Drosophila melanogaster: one gene and its partners. The gene in region 2 interacts genetically with the main gene of each other region. Each region holds a gene or a part of one and is shown on either strand. Other genes may lie near its edges. The genes, in order: cdi, Pax and Mp20.

Region 1 (5,002 bases), on a different chromosome or scaffold from region 2:
GTGCATTGGGCTGTCAAATTGATTGTTTTCTCAATTTATTTCATTATTTTGATTTAAGGATCCCATTTTCTTTATGCATATCCATCCAACAAGATGTCACATAGACAACAAATGCAAATTAGATACCGTAACTGTCATTTGAAATGAATTTAATTTGGGTAATTTACTTCAACGCGGATTACATTTCGAATCGAACAGACGACCAACGAAGCCAGTGTCAGAGTGCTCCTCGTGCGCTCCGGTTTAGTGGTGTCCCTGGGCTTCGGCCTCCAGCTGCTCCTTGGACTTGTAGCCGACCTGCTCCTCGGGAGTGTGGGGCCAGAAGGTGGGCTTGTTGAGGGGATCGAGTGCGCTATCGGGGAATGCGTCGCGGTAGTCCTCCATGGTCATCTGGTCGTAGGGCAGCAGAGACTTGAGATGGGCGATCTCCTTTTGGTAGTTCTGAATGCGCTGCTCCGAGGCCTTCTTGTAGGCATCGATTTCGCTCTGCGACGCCTTGATCTCGGCATCCACCTGGGACGACACCTTGTCCTGGGGATAGGGCACCTTCAGGGCTTCGTACTGCTTCTGGAAGCTATCGACGAGTCCGGCCACTGGCACAAGCTTCTTGTAGTTGGCCCAATCGATCTGGGGTGGGCACTCGGGATTGGCCAGCACGGCGCGCACATAGATGTCCGACTTGGTCTTGAAGGCGCCGAAGCTGCTCTTCTGGTTGGCGGGCACGCGCTCGGCGAGAGCGGACCAGTTGATCGAGGATTGGGCGATACGGCGGGCGGCCATTCTGCACAGATACTGCAAGACAACAACAAAAGCGGGGATGAGGTTAGGTTTTTGGGTTTATAGAGGTGGTAAGTGATTTCTAGGTGTCCTGGAACTGTGCAGCGATATTCTTATTAGTTGAAATGTAATCTCTGCTTCTTTAGTTGCAGACTTATCGACATAATGCACGGCGAGTTATGCTCGCAAAAATTATGTAATTTTTTTCAATCCTCAATGTTCCTTCAAACTAAAAACGCGTTTGCAGTCCTTTCCTCGAGGCTTGCAGACTAATCGCTGTTGTAGCCCAACCGTGCGCTTTTTTTTTATTATTTTTGCAGTGTTTAACGTAACGTACTTATATTTTCAAGGAGAAAAATAAGAATTTCTGCCTCTGCAACCAACACTTACACTTTGAGTACGAATGTGACCAGAGCTGGGGAAAATACCACATAATGTGGAAACTGAACCAGGGCTACCACAGATTCTTAATAACTAATTTAGGAGTCTTTAAATCTTACCCTCGGGTCGGTCACACTATCAGCTGCCTGGCAGCAAAAACACGATTTAAGTGTAGCTCTTATTTAGTGTAAATATTGTGATTATCAATTAAAATGTTGCTGAAACAGTTGCCCCAGGCTGTTCAGCAGATACGCTGCATCTCATCGGCCACGACGGCGGTTACCAGGCTGCATCGCTCGGTTTACTGCCGGCTATATCCCACAGTTGTGGTGCAACCCGATGGATCCACGATAAACATCCGCTATCACGAGCCCAGGAAGATTATCAAGGTAACGTTAGTTACTATAACTTAACGAAACCATAATTAACGAGTACCATCTACTAGCTTCCCTTGGATCTGAGCACCTTAACCGATGCGGAGCGCAGAGCGAGATTGGAGGCCCGCAAGCCGCGCAAGAAGGTCAAGATCATGGAGGAGGTGGAGGACAACTTCAACGCCAAGAAGTACATGAAGTACATCAAAAAGAAGTAGCCGCATTTTATTCACTATTTGTTAAATAAAACACGAAAGCCCGTTATATAATTGTTTTAAATTAGAATTAAGAAATTGTGCTCGTTATCGATAGTGTATATCGCACATCTGGTATTTTTGTTATCGGTTTCAGCATGGGCCCTCCACTTTTTTCCACCATCCCACAACGGTCACTCTAATCGAGTCGGAAAACAAAGTCGGACGTCTAGCTGCGCGTCGCTCCCGAAGAACTGTTAATTTGTGGACGCTTTTTCGCGAGTGCAGACATAAATGAAAGCAACATATCTTTAGCTCCATTCCAGACTGGATCATAGGCTATAGCCCGTTAGAGCAGTGCCAGTGAATCGGTTACCGAATTATAATCTCGCTCTGCGTCGGCTGAGTGGTAATGTTGAATGGACAGTCGCGTCTAACAAAAAAAAAAAAAAACAAGTACACACAACCAACGACGAATGCACATAAACAAGACGAGACAGCAAACGCAGAATCGAGTGAAAACCTATTTTAAAACACCAGAGCTATATTTATTTTGTTGACGCTCAGGATTTTCGGTCCTCGCATTTGTGATGTCTGCGGGTGCGTGTGAGTGCGCGAGTGCGAATGTGTTGGTTGCATATCACGGCGGATGCGAATAACTGCAATTGCAATAGAGAGCAGACACATACACACAAACACAAGCATAATTGGATTATGGCCACACGGCAATAAGAACGGAGGGAGAGAGAGAGAGCAGTCGCCAAAACCAAACGGGTAAATAAATAGTATTAGCAGAAATCGGTTAAAAGCCAGAATTAAATGGATTAGACCTGTGCTATCGTTGGCATTTCCCCATCGCTGTGTGCGTGCGTGTCTGTGTGCGGAAGCAACCTAGAGATGGGCCTGACCTTAGCTTTCGCACACTGCCTGCCAAAAGTTGCCACCCGCTGCTTTCGCTGCATCTTGACACAACATGGTTTTCAAGGTTCTACCGAGATAAAAACACAAATATAATTTCGTAACGGGAAATGCAAAATTGTCATGTACTATTGTATATTTAAACATTTAGAATTGAGGGTAAATAGGTTTGCAATCTTATATTTTAACTTACGTTGATTGTATTTTGTCTTAAATATAATAAAACATAATGCGTAAATAATGTGTCTATTTATACTTCGTAAATGCTAAATTTAAAGTAAACATTGTAGAGCTAAAACTTGTTACTTTTTCACATCTGTTTCGAATAGCATAGCCATATGATCTAATTTGAAAAGCAAATGCTTAAATTTTTTGTGAGCTCAGCAGAATCATTTCCATATTCATTTGAATCGAACCTGTTGTCACCATGCGATGCACTCGGAAATCTGGCTCATCTCTAACACGTGCGTGTGTGCGAGCGTCTGGAATTCGAAATTTGAAATTCGAAATGGGGAAGGTTTTGTGCGAAGGGGAGCGTAAATATTTTCGTAAGCAGCGGAAATGTAAAAATAACACAAACACATTTGCAAGTTATGATGAAGATGCTTCCGATGTTGGTGCTGGTTTTCCCAGCATTCGCTCTCTCCTTAGTCTCAGTTTCTCCCTTTTTTTCCGATTCGGTCGATTCAGCGGAAAGACAGTTTTCCACGTAAAACTGCGACAGATGTTCACGGCTCATTATCCGGGGATCGAGAAGCTATAGCTCCCAATTCGAATGCACATTCCACTTGGGTTTCCTCCCGAAATGCAGCTGCCCTATTGGGATTTTGCCGGTTTGGTGGTTGTTGGCTGTTGCTACTGCTGCATTTTTGTGGTGTTTTTTTTTTTTTCGTTGTGGTCTTTCGTGGTGTTTATAAAATTAACAGTAAACTCCCCCGTACTTCCGCCCTTGGCAGCTGGCTGTTAATGCTGCCTAAGCTAATTTGTTTTCATTTGTGTGTGTCCGCATAGAGGGGAATAAAATAAATAAAATAAACGAAACGATTTGTGCTCACTCTACGCGCCCTTCCTATTGTATTTGTTATTGTTCGATTTTTGCACCTCCTTCGGTTGCATTCATCAAGTGTTTTGTTTTGTTCGATCTTCTTATAGGACTTGCACTTGAGGCTGAAAATAAACCCATTTGGTTTTCGTTTTTGTTGACGTTCTTGTTGGATTTCTTCGATCCTAAAGTTTATTTACGTATAGTTTTGCTGCAGATCGATGGGCGGCACGTGAGTGCCCTCCCCCCGAAAGCCGACTGGCTGCCAATTAGTCGAAATGTCTAAATGGCGCAGTGATCGTTGGACATTCAGAAATAGTTTAGAAAACGACGGTTCTGTACCAAAGGAAAGTGAAATTTTTGTCTGCCCGGCTAATTAAGCTTATCTTATGCTTTCAGTCGAAAATTCCATTGCCTTTGAATTTATTTGGTAGATTTGTATACACACATATTTCTCCTCGCTTTCCATTTCGTTACGTGAATCACTTGTTGTACGGCCTCTGGAGTCTAAACTTTAAACTCAAGAGAATAAAAAACTAACGATAACTGGCACCTCACACCTTCGATGGGCTTGGAATTTATTCAAAATACACCAAATTTACATACATAGATTCTTTTTCATAAGTAGGCATACATATAGGTAGAGAGCGGATGCAGCCAGCACCTCCCCGGCTGAATGAGTTGGTAGTTTTTCCAAGTGTGGGTGTATCTGTATCTCTCAGATAGCCAGCGATATATAGGCGTAGAAGAATTTATGAGCGCGACAACGACATGAATTTCATTCAGTCTTTGTTGTTTCTGTGGGCCCAAGAGTGTGCCATGTCCCATTTTCCACTTCTTTTTTTTTTGTGTTTCTCGGTTTTTGTTGTTCTTTGATAATTTTGCTCTGCCTCGGCGTCTCATCTCTTTGTTTATAGAAATTTCTTCTTCTTGAGCTGCCTTGGCTTCTTTTCGCCGTCTCCTCGTCTTTGTTTTTCTTTCTACACGGCAATGAAGTGGCATTTTTTCTGCCGCTGACCAACTTTCCTTTTCATTAACGCTTTTTTCGGACTCTAAACGCAAGACGCTTCCTGAACGCATCACTTCTCGGTGCGTTACTTGCTCCCTACTTGAATGTGCCTGAACAGCAAATCATTTCCAATTTCATAACCAAGATTTATGCCTCTTTAATGGCCCAGCTGAAACGATGCAGTGTGCATTGCACACAATTCTCCTGGCACGCGTCTACGTAGGCGAAGATACCACGATGATGCTGCTGCTGATGATGATGATGATGCAGACGGTGGTGGCCGCGACGACCCTTGGCCCCATAAAAA
Region 2 (5,440 bases):
CTCAATATTTACTGTTTTTCGAAATTCTTATCGTAAGCATACAATCATTAATCACGATTAAAAATGGTTGTGTTACGTGCTTTAAAATTCTTGATGATGAATTTCAAGTGCTCGTCTTATCTTTGAACCCGTTCATATGTACATGGGTCCATACATACATATGTACATACATACATACTTATGTACATACATACATATGTGCAAAGTGCACAAGTAAATGAATGAGCTTTTAATTCGGGAAGTGGCTATTGCGATAGCTGTGGTCCGATTCGCGCATTCCTTGCACTTTTATGAATAATCCTAATTCCTTGAATCGAACATAAAAGCATCGCGCTCAGCACTTCCAGTGTGAAATCATTTACAATTCTAGAAAGCAAGGAGGGTGTGGTTTCTTGCAGCCCCAAGTTCGAAACCCTTGTACTCATGTGAATGATCTGGTCTGAGAGAGGCAGCTTAATCAGCCGGGCTGTATTTGCTTTCTTCGCTGCCCCACAGTGCTCTTTTAGTCTCCATCAGCGAAATAAAAGTCTACATGTCGTCTCACTTTATTTTCTTTATGACACAATTCTTCGCTGTTTCGGAATGTCTTTTGATAAAAATATAAAAGTGAAGCAAAACGAAATCTGCAGCCGAGAGTTGTGTGTCCAGAAATTCTTAAGAAATGACTAAAGGCCAGGCCACTAACACTTATGAAGAATTCCAGCTGACTTGCCCTACACCTACGCACAGTGGTCTAAGAGCCCGCTAAAATTTGCTTATCGGCTGGGCTTGTAGGATTCTAGATCTTAAGAAACTTTCATATAGAGCTTTTGCAAAATCATGTTAAATAACAAATAATATTTCAGATCACTTTTTAGATTACAATAATATAATAATAACTATAATACTGAAATTCGTTCGAGATCTTAAAATCTCAGCATAAATATTCTGCCCTCGAAGCTTTACTTCGCACAGGAAGTAGAGGCTTCAGCTTCATCTCCAACTTCATCTTGATCTTCTCCAGCAACTCAGTTGCATCAATCTTGCTTTGCTGCCATTAGTGAGTGCGCGCCCACTTCATCGCCCACTCGACACGCAATGTCTTCTGTTCGTGTTGCGTGTGCGCACTGTAACAGCAAAGACGAGATGATCTGTCGAGATCGGTTAGGTCTGTCTGGGCATTGAGCGTCGATGGCGTTTTCCGCCGAGGGGAGCACTCCAACTGCAGAGCAATGATCGCTTATGGTTACGGGGAAAGGTTCGCACAGTGGGACGAAAGGTTAAAGAGTTTTTGAGATCCCATTTCTGCCTTTTCTGTGATCGTATCAATGTATATCACAGTGTTCATGGTCATGAAAGTATATAATTAGTTATCTTCTATGTTTGTCGATAAACAATTGTAAAGCCTAAGCAGCTGTTAAGTGATAAGCATTTCCAACATGACTGTCCCAGAGGAATTTTGTTTATACCAATTTTCACTGTCATTTTATGAAACATTTAATCTTGCGGATTGTCTGTACAATTGAAGATAGTTTCAGAAATGTTTTGATATTGGATGCCTTTGACTCACGTTTTCGTTTATTCGTCAGCAACGAAGGGGTTGGTTTTCTTGGCAGCTGGCCCACTGTTCACACACCCAAAGGAAAGCTCCAATCGGGCGACAATATTTTCGTCCGCTCTGGTTTCCTTTCGCTGTGCCTCCCACTTGCGGTCGAAATGCTCAGCCGCAGGCCGCAAGCCAAAATGAAAAGCCACTCCAAGTGAAAAGCTACGTGGTGGGGCTCTTTCTCTCTTTTAACTGGCTCTCTTGGCACTGAAAATAAAATACGACAATATGGACTCTGATTTAAAATACATTTTTTTTAAATTCGATTTTTCAAAATTAGTTTACTACTTGTTTACTAGTTTATTAGTTGTTTACTCAGAAACAACAATAATCATAATACTGGTTTCACAAGCTGTAACCGCTGATACATACTTTTTAAACATTCCTTTAGATATATATTACTTTAGATATAGCCCCTATTACGAAGCTAAGCTATCGTTTTGAATATACTATGCCTATCCATACATCCATACATCTATAAATCTAAGAAGATTTTTTCGCAGTGCAGTTTGTTTACCAGCTCTCAAACGCTTCGCTCTCTTGCTCCCCCGCTCTCCGTGAGCAGCTGCGAGAGAGCCGGAGCGCTCGTCTATTGGAGCCTCAGCATCGGGCCCCCCTTTGGATTTCAGTCGATTGCGACGCTTTTACTGAATCGCGAGCGCAGCGCGTGTGTTTTTCGGAGTCTCTCGATTGCGGTCTCCCAACGGCGTCCTACGATCTCTGGGATTAATATATAGAATATGTGACAACACACTGCCAAAGGTGCAGGCAAAAGTGCACAGATAACGCGATAGAATATACATATAAGAAACCAAGCCTAATCAAAACAAAAGGCAACGAAAAAGTGTTTAACGGCAAACTACGGCGGGAAAAAGTTGATGAAAATCAGTGGAATCGTGTTAGTGGCAGGTTGGAGCGTGGGAAATTGTTTACTTCGAGTGCAAGAACAGTTTGCAGTAAAAAAAAAAGTTGACAAACATCAAAAGATATCTAGCACTAAGATAAACGATAAAGCAGGAATGCCAGAAGCAGTTAGCTAAAAAAAATAATATAATATAATAAACTGGCCAAGATTTATGGATCCGTGTCACTCGCCTTAAGATTCCACTAACTCTTGGCAAATCTTTTCGGCGCGTTGCTCGCAAAACATTTCAATTTCATTAGCATTTCCACTAATTATGGAACTAATTATCAACGGACAAGACATTCGAATATATGACATATTTGCCCAGATCTGGCAGAGCATAGAATTTTGGTTAGCCCCATTAATTTTCGCCTCGGGGCCCCGAACGGATTAAGATCGTGGGTGTGTTGAGATGGAAATTAATTCGGTATTTCTGTGTTTTTCTGGAGGGAAATGACCGAAATAGCCAAACAAACATAACAACAGGCAGCAAAAGCAATTAAATTGTGCCCACTTAATCTATTAAAATTATGACATTTTTCACATATTTCAAGCAATCGAAGCCAAGTGCATTCTCACGAGTGGTGGTGGTAGTGCGATGGGGGGGGGGGGGACTTCCTTCCCCTTCCCCTCGTAAAAGTATCTCGAGTTACGACAGCAGATGGAAATGCTGGAGAATGATGTAAACTCGGCTGACATAGTGCGCACAAATGAATATTTTGTTGTTGGGGGGTTCTGCACTTACGAGAATCGCTTTCGTTTTCTCCCCAATATTTTGTATCTCGCAGATACGTTCAGTGGATGCCATTTGTTTACGACCAGACAGCTGCTGTCTTTGTCTCTCCGATTGTCTGTGCGTTTTGAAACCTCTAACTAAGTATCTACAGATCACTCTGGATCTCTGGATTATTTGGGTTTAAAAGCTCGTTTTAAGCCCCAACTACTTAGCACCTCTGGATTCTCCATCATCGTAATTCATAGTGCAGTGAGTTCATCGCCAGGTTTGAGTTCGATTTTCGTTTGCTCAGCGAGTTGCTCTGTGTTTTGTTGTTGTTGTTCCTTGTTTCTGTTCTTTCAACTGGAAACAAGATTCTTATCGCCCAGCCATACAAATTCAATTAGAGTGTGTTGTTTCGATTGCTAGCGAAAGATGAGTGGCTTCGATAGATTTCGAAATCGTTAATTGTTAGCAGCGAGTTGATGTGCAATTAAAACATTGGGTTAGATTCATTGCTCACAAATATTTTGAAATAAATAAGTGCAATACTATTGAATTGTTTGCAATCGACAAATATAACCAATTAAGCTTCCATTGAGCCAATCAAAAGACATTGATATTTAATTCCAGAAAAGCCTTTTATCTGCTCAGTACGTAGGCCATTGGCCAATATAGGGTCTATATATCTTATCAAGACCCCAAAGGCCCCAAAAGTCAGTGGGCGATAGCTCGTCGCTTTTTCCCGAACCTATTACAGAAGTGGAATGTGAAAAGCACGCACAGTTTACAGCGGCATAAATTGGCCAAGTTTATTGAAAGGCCCGGCTAAAGGCCACTGAGCGGTGAAGAGAGATCGGTATCACCCACACAAATGAATTTCCCTGGGCTGATACCCACTTTTCCGTTTGGCCACGCATTGCGTTTTCACCTTAGCGCCTTCGGCAAGGTCAACACTCGCATTCACACACATTTTATCTACTTACTAATAAAATATTTATATTGAGATCGCTAGGAATTTCCTGCAAAATAAACACGAAATTGTGCCTTTGACTTTTGAATTTGACTTCGTAGAAGGAAGACCGAATCGAGAACAACAATTTCGGCCCGACGTCATTCCCAAATGGACTGAGTAATGCCTCAGGTGTGGAGGTAAATGGATTTGGACTTGACTATAGCCAAGACCTGGAAGGAAAGTGAGATTTTTATTTTCTTATTGCCCTTCCTTTTGGCAACGATCTGCGGAAATCTCTCGTATTTTCAATTAATTTCGCTCGATTTTCCCAGTTTAGCCTCCCTTTGTTAGACGACGAAACGTCGCCTTTGATTTGCTAGAAATGTTTTTTTTTTTTGTTTTTTTATTTTTCTTTTGGATATTTTTAGTTGGCGATCATTGGTGTTGACGTAATTTGGCAACCTTGATTCCCCGTTCCCTTCTCGATACTCGTATTTTTGGCCCGGCTCGCTTTGTGTTCGGTCGGTGAATTTATGTTTATTATTTTTTACCTTTTTCCAATGTGTCGTTATTTGTTTGGAACGAAAATCTAAAATGTGGCCTGCATGTTCATTTTGGTATTTTTATGCTTCCATAAATCTGTCTTTATAGACCGTTTGTTGGCTCAACTAAATCTACAGGCCATCGTAAATTGAGTTAGTTGCATAGATCATCTATTGAGATTCACCCACGCACATTGGGATTAGGAAGTCAGAGTAACTGGTCCGGACTTTTTGGTCTGATTTATCGCTCTTGTTGGTGTTTTTATGGATCTTTAGATACGGTTAGATTGATTTGCATCTTCAGTGATTACGCTATAAAGAACCATTTTTGACTTCTCTATCTTTTTGATCTTTAGATACGGAAGATTAAGGTGCATCTTAAGTAGAGTAATCACTTCAGATGAAGATCATTTGACTTGTTTGACAGTGGACTTTCATTGACTTAACTAAATATCTTTGTTTCGAGTATTGATTTAGGTAATTTATTTCTTAGGTTTGAAGCATGATGAACTGATGAACTGACAGACAATGTTTACATTACCAGTAGATTTATTTCTCGTCTTTTTGAGAGCTCTTCATCATATATGCAGCTTAGATCATAGATCTCTCACCTCACCACATCCCTTTAATCTTTTAATGCGGTATTTTGTCAGTCTCAGTCAATTAATAGAGGAAATTCGAATGCACAAAGCACTCTCCAGACAACAATTTCCAACATTAAATCACTTGGACTTCCACG
Region 3 (4,880 bases), on a different chromosome or scaffold from region 2:
AATAATCCCGGCTAACTTAGCGCCTGCAAAATGGTTCTCCTCCGCCAGGATGTTTGCACACTCGAATCTAATTTTCCTGGCCAAACACATACACAATGCTCTGCTCTGTGCAATTTTGGCACAAACGTTGATGAGGATGTCGTCTGATGAGGATGCATGAGGGACCCCCAGGGTTCGGATAATCATTTAATCAGCCATTTGTTTGAATTGCAATCCAAGGGAGACGATAGTAATAGTACTTTCCAAAACCATCGGGTGTGTGCCATCGCGTAATTGAATTTGATTCTTTCACTTGACGAGCCACACCCCTCAGCAAATGCAATTACAATAATTTAATTGCCGTGAAAAATGGCCGCCCGGCTGCGGGGCATTAATTAAATTTTTGCGAAGACAATAGTCAAAACCCAGCCTGCGGCGCATTTAATTCACTTAAATGGCAACCAATGCGGTTTACTTCAATTCGCCGCGTATTTGTTAATTAAAATAAAAATGTAAGAAAGAAAACGCTCCGTCGAAGTGCCGCGGGCCAAGGAGGCGGTAAAAATAAACGAACACGCCATCTGTTTTTCTCCGCCGTGGGAAAAACAAGAAAAGCCTGGAAAATCTCAACTATTTCGGCTCGGCTCCACCTGTTCGGCGTCGAGAATTTAGAAATAGTCGCGCTACCCATAGCACAAATTCGTCGCGCCTTTTACGTGTATCTCGTAGATTTTCCGACTGTTATCGAAATTGTATCTGCTCTAGCAAAAGATTTTCCCCCATCCCGAAATAGATGTCGCTGTGCGATTTGTTTGTTTGGCTTTCCCCCCCGAAATACTCTAATAAAATATTAATTTTTGTGGGGGGGCACGAACTTTGACAGTTCCCAGTCGCCTTGACTGGTCGCCTCTTCACTTTATTGCCCTCTCGTTAATTTTGAAGGCATGTTTTGCTGATGGCTGTCCTCGAACAAAGTGCTTTTCAATAACACAAGGCACATAATTCAAGTTAATTTCCCGCTCATAAAGTAATCGCTGTCCTTTTTACTTTTTAAAGCTTGCAAATTGCTCCGTCTTTTCCTGGAGACATTATTTATATCCATTATCAGATTATAAATACATTGTATGAATATTTCAATAATATTTATAAAAATTTAAAACATTAGTATGATAGTAGTATGATGAAATTATTTCGAATATTCTCTTAATAAACTAATTGGCATGTTCTAAATTGTGAATATTGCAAAGGATGCTCCTCACATTTTGTAAATCTCTGTAAATTCTGAAGGACGTGTCTTTGGAAGATTTGATTATCAAATATATTTGAAATACCAATTAAATCCAATTTGAAAAACATTTTCAGTAAAAATTAATAAGTACATGTCATTTTTGTAAACTTTTTATGCAGAAAGTCCTTTTAACAAGAAATTGCCATGTCGCTGATCTGATCTGATAACTGTGAATAATTGTGAGGATGTCCATGTCATCATAAATTTCGCTGTAAATTCTGGAGGATGTGTCGCTCGATGGGAACCAATTTGCTGCCATTTTTAATTATGACCCAATGCATGCCGATGGAAATTACGGGCAACGAATGCACGCGCCCGAAATGAGTTCAAAATGACAGCAGGACAGCAAGTCCGAAAAAATGCGGCTAACATGCAAATGAGCAGTACTTTGAAGAGCACAATCTACACACACTCGCACACACACACACACACACATACCATCGATTGGAAATGTGTGAAAATAATGAAGCATTTGGATTTTTCCTTTTTCTCAACCGATGATGATCTAAAATTATAACGCACGATTCATACGCGGGAGACGGGCAAAGTCGGCGTTTCGAATATATAGAACGCCCACGCTGCAAAATTTTCACACACTCGACTCCGAATTCGGATATATTTTTGGAAAATTCTTGAACGAATTCGTCGGAGAACGCTCTCTCGCGCTTTAAAAGCCGCATACGCCCCGTTGGCTGGCATCAGTGTTAGCTTGTCAGAGCTTTAGTGAAGATCCCGCAGGACCCGAAACCAAAAACCAAGAATCAAACATGTCTCTTGAGCGTGCCGTTCGTGCCAAGGTGAATACTCAATCAGTGAAGAAAAAAGATCCTTAAGAAAACATAGATATAAAGGAAAATAGATGAAAGAAATGTGAAATTACCAAACAGTTTTGTGAAATATTGTGCCTAAAATATGAATTTTTTCTTATCCGATCCACCTAGATTGCCAGCAAGCGCAATCCCGAGATGGACAAGGAGGCCCAGGAGTGGATCGAGGCCATCATTGCCGAGAAGTTCCCCGCCGGCCAGTCCTACGAGGATGTGCTCAAGGACGGTCAGGTGCTGTGCAAACTGATCAACGTGCTGTCGCCCAATGCCGTGCCCAAGGTCAACTCCTCGGGCGGCCAGTTCAAGTTCATGGAGAACATCAACAACTTCCAGAAGGCCCTGAAGGAGTACGGTGTGCCCGACATCGATGTCTTCCAGACCGTCGATCTGTACGAGAAGAAGGATATTGCCAACGTTACCAACACCATCTTCGCTTTGGGCCGTGCCGTAAGTTTCAAATCGCCTTCTATCCCATTGTCAGCCAGGCTAATCCTTGAATTGCGGCTCATTGCAGACCTACAAGCATGCCGACTTCAAGGGTCCCTTCCTGGGCCCCAAGCCCGCCGATGAGTGCAAGCGCGATTTCACCGAAGAGCAGCTGAAGGCTGGCCAGACCATTGTGGGTCTGCAGGCCGGTTCCAACAAGGGAGCCACCCAGGCTGGCCAGAACCTCGGCGCTGGCCGCAAGATCCTGCTCGGCAAGTAAGCGCCAAAGGATGGCCAGGATGTCCACACCCTTTTCTACACTTATGCTAAGTGAACACACCCATATATATTTTGTATGATGAAAAACATGAAGAACACAATGATATTCCTCACCAAAGCAAAACTCAACACCAATGAACACACACTCACACAAAACAACACATAAAAGCAACGCAAAGGCTTGTCGCCTTATATTAAGTATACGCCTAAGTTAATCTATTTATGAGTACAATAAAGTAATTCAAAGAACCCAGTTTTCCACTTTCCGATCACCTCTATAACCTTGAGCTCTCTACGTTCTTGCTGCTGTTGTTTGTGTGGGTGTACAGACTTTATTTATCTGCCTATGGTGCGTTCTAAAAATGAATTTCATACCTATAGCCATATAGCTGAATATATATATATACTATATATGCATCATCGTATCAACGTTATAAAGCAAACATAAACACACTCTGTTGAGTGTGTGCGATGTGTGAAACATTCCATCGAAGCGTGTCGAGGTCAGAACATCAGCGTTGGGCAGAGTTATTATCAAGATGGGCATCTCGACACTGACTTTTACATATATTTTATATGTAGCGAAAGGAATTTCCCCCAAACTCACCTGTCCGAGGCGTGAAATTGTTCCCACGAAAGAACACACACAACATTATGTATTGCAGGTGCAACTATGCTGGTGCCAAAAATGAAAAAAACCAGACATCTCTCGCGAATATTTCACGCCTTCAGCTGGCACTTTTCTAATTTCTCGATTTATTATAGTTTGTCAGTGGGTGGAATTGATCTCTGTTGGCTTATTATGCTGAAAGCAAAGAGCAGGAATGGAAGAATCTGGAAATATTTTGTATTAATTGTATGTTAGATCTATTGAAAAAATATGTCTTAGAACGCAGAATATATTCAGCATGGATTTGTTATTAGTTTTAAATGACGCAGTCTGCAAATGAAATATTTTCCTCATTCGTTTTGGCTAATTGAAGTGTACTCAGGTCGTGTGTACAATATTTTAGACTCAAATAGTGCTCAGAAAGGATGATTAAGAATAAAGCGTGCCAATTTCCGAATCGGTATATTTAGAATTTTGAAAATTTCCAACAATTGGTTGCTAGAAATATTAATGAGAACAACCAAACGGTATTTCCCCTTGGTTTTGTTGTTTTCTTCAACATATATATATGGATGGAATAAATAAAAGCAGGCAAATAAATAACAAACTTGACACTGAAAATGTGGGGGATATATATATATATATACATATATATTAATAATGGTTCATTAAGAGATTTTCTCTACCGTTTCAGGGTTATTATTGATGCATAAGCTTACGACTAGGAAGTCTTGAATTTTCCATTGTTTATAGCATTAATAAACGACAAATATTATATTATTTTTGTGGAAAAATGTATTTGGTTGAAAAGTGGTAATAGCCCTATTAAATAATCGAGCTCTTTTTTCGAGGTGACATCAAACTTTGCAGCTGATTGGTAAGTGATTTTAGGGTTTCCCGGAGACTCGAGACCATTTTCTCCTTTTCACGAACATAGGCGACAGTTCGATCGTAGTCATACATCAATGCGGGCATAGCCAGGATACCACCCTGGCATGTCAAATCTCTCATCCGGCGCCTAATAGCCTTGTGCTCCAGTTTTCGGCGACACAGCTCGGATTTTAGTTTATTTTTCAACTTGTGCTTTTCCAGCAGGTTATCTTTAAGAACGTGAATTTTGTTCTTAAGCTCGTGGGACTTCTCTCGATTGTGCTTAGTCATATGCAGTTCGGTGTGGTAGAGCCTGCGCTGTCTTTTTAATTCAATATTTCGCTCTGATGGAGATGATTATTATGCATATAATAATGAACAAATTTTAAGCAGAGATGTTCATAGGACTATACCTTCAATCTTCTTTTCTAGGCCGATCGTTTTGTTTTGCACGGAAATAAAGTCATTCAAGCTCACACCGTCGCAAACCGTTTCTACATCTCTTATTTTCTAAATGGAGATGTTTCAGAAAAGTATGTTGATACAAGTAAAACAATCAAATTAGAAAACATATGAAAAATTGGAAAACAATATTGGTGAT

Evidence for each region.
Region 1: of Pax (region 2) and cdi, changing one suppresses a phenotype caused by changing the other (phenotypic suppression), as found in Drosophila melanogaster (one study listed by BioGRID).
Region 3: of Pax (region 2) and Mp20, changing one enhances a phenotype caused by changing the other (phenotypic enhancement), as found in Drosophila melanogaster (one study listed by BioGRID).

Annotation. Positions count from the first base shown.
Region 1 is NT_033777.3:19,091,187-19,096,188, reverse strand, and holds the start of cdi (center divider), read left to right. Parts: upstream 1-1,918; 5' UTR 1,919-2,500; intron 2,501-5,002. Other genes in the region: ATPsynD (ATP synthase, subunit D), read right to left, coding at 244-780; mRpL55 (mitochondrial ribosomal protein L55), read left to right, coding at 1,371-1,547, 1,604-1,750.
Region 2 is NT_033779.5:19,420,322-19,425,761, reverse strand, and holds the start of Pax (paxillin), read left to right. Parts: upstream 1-2,209; 5' UTR 2,210-2,347; exon of another isoform or gene 2,348-2,483; intron 2,484-5,440.
Region 3 is NT_033778.4:13,244,709-13,249,588, forward strand, and holds Mp20 (muscle protein 20), read left to right. Parts: upstream 1-1,961; 5' UTR 1,962-2,034; coding exon 2,035-2,064; intron 2,065-2,208; coding exon 2,209-2,541; intron 2,542-2,608; coding exon 2,609-2,796; coding exon of another isoform or gene 2,797-2,800; exon of another isoform or gene 2,801-3,051; intron 3,052-4,103; coding exon 4,104-4,122; 3' UTR 4,123-4,172; downstream 4,173-4,880. Other genes in the region: CG4712 (uncharacterized protein), read right to left, coding at 4,235-4,623, 4,693-4,789.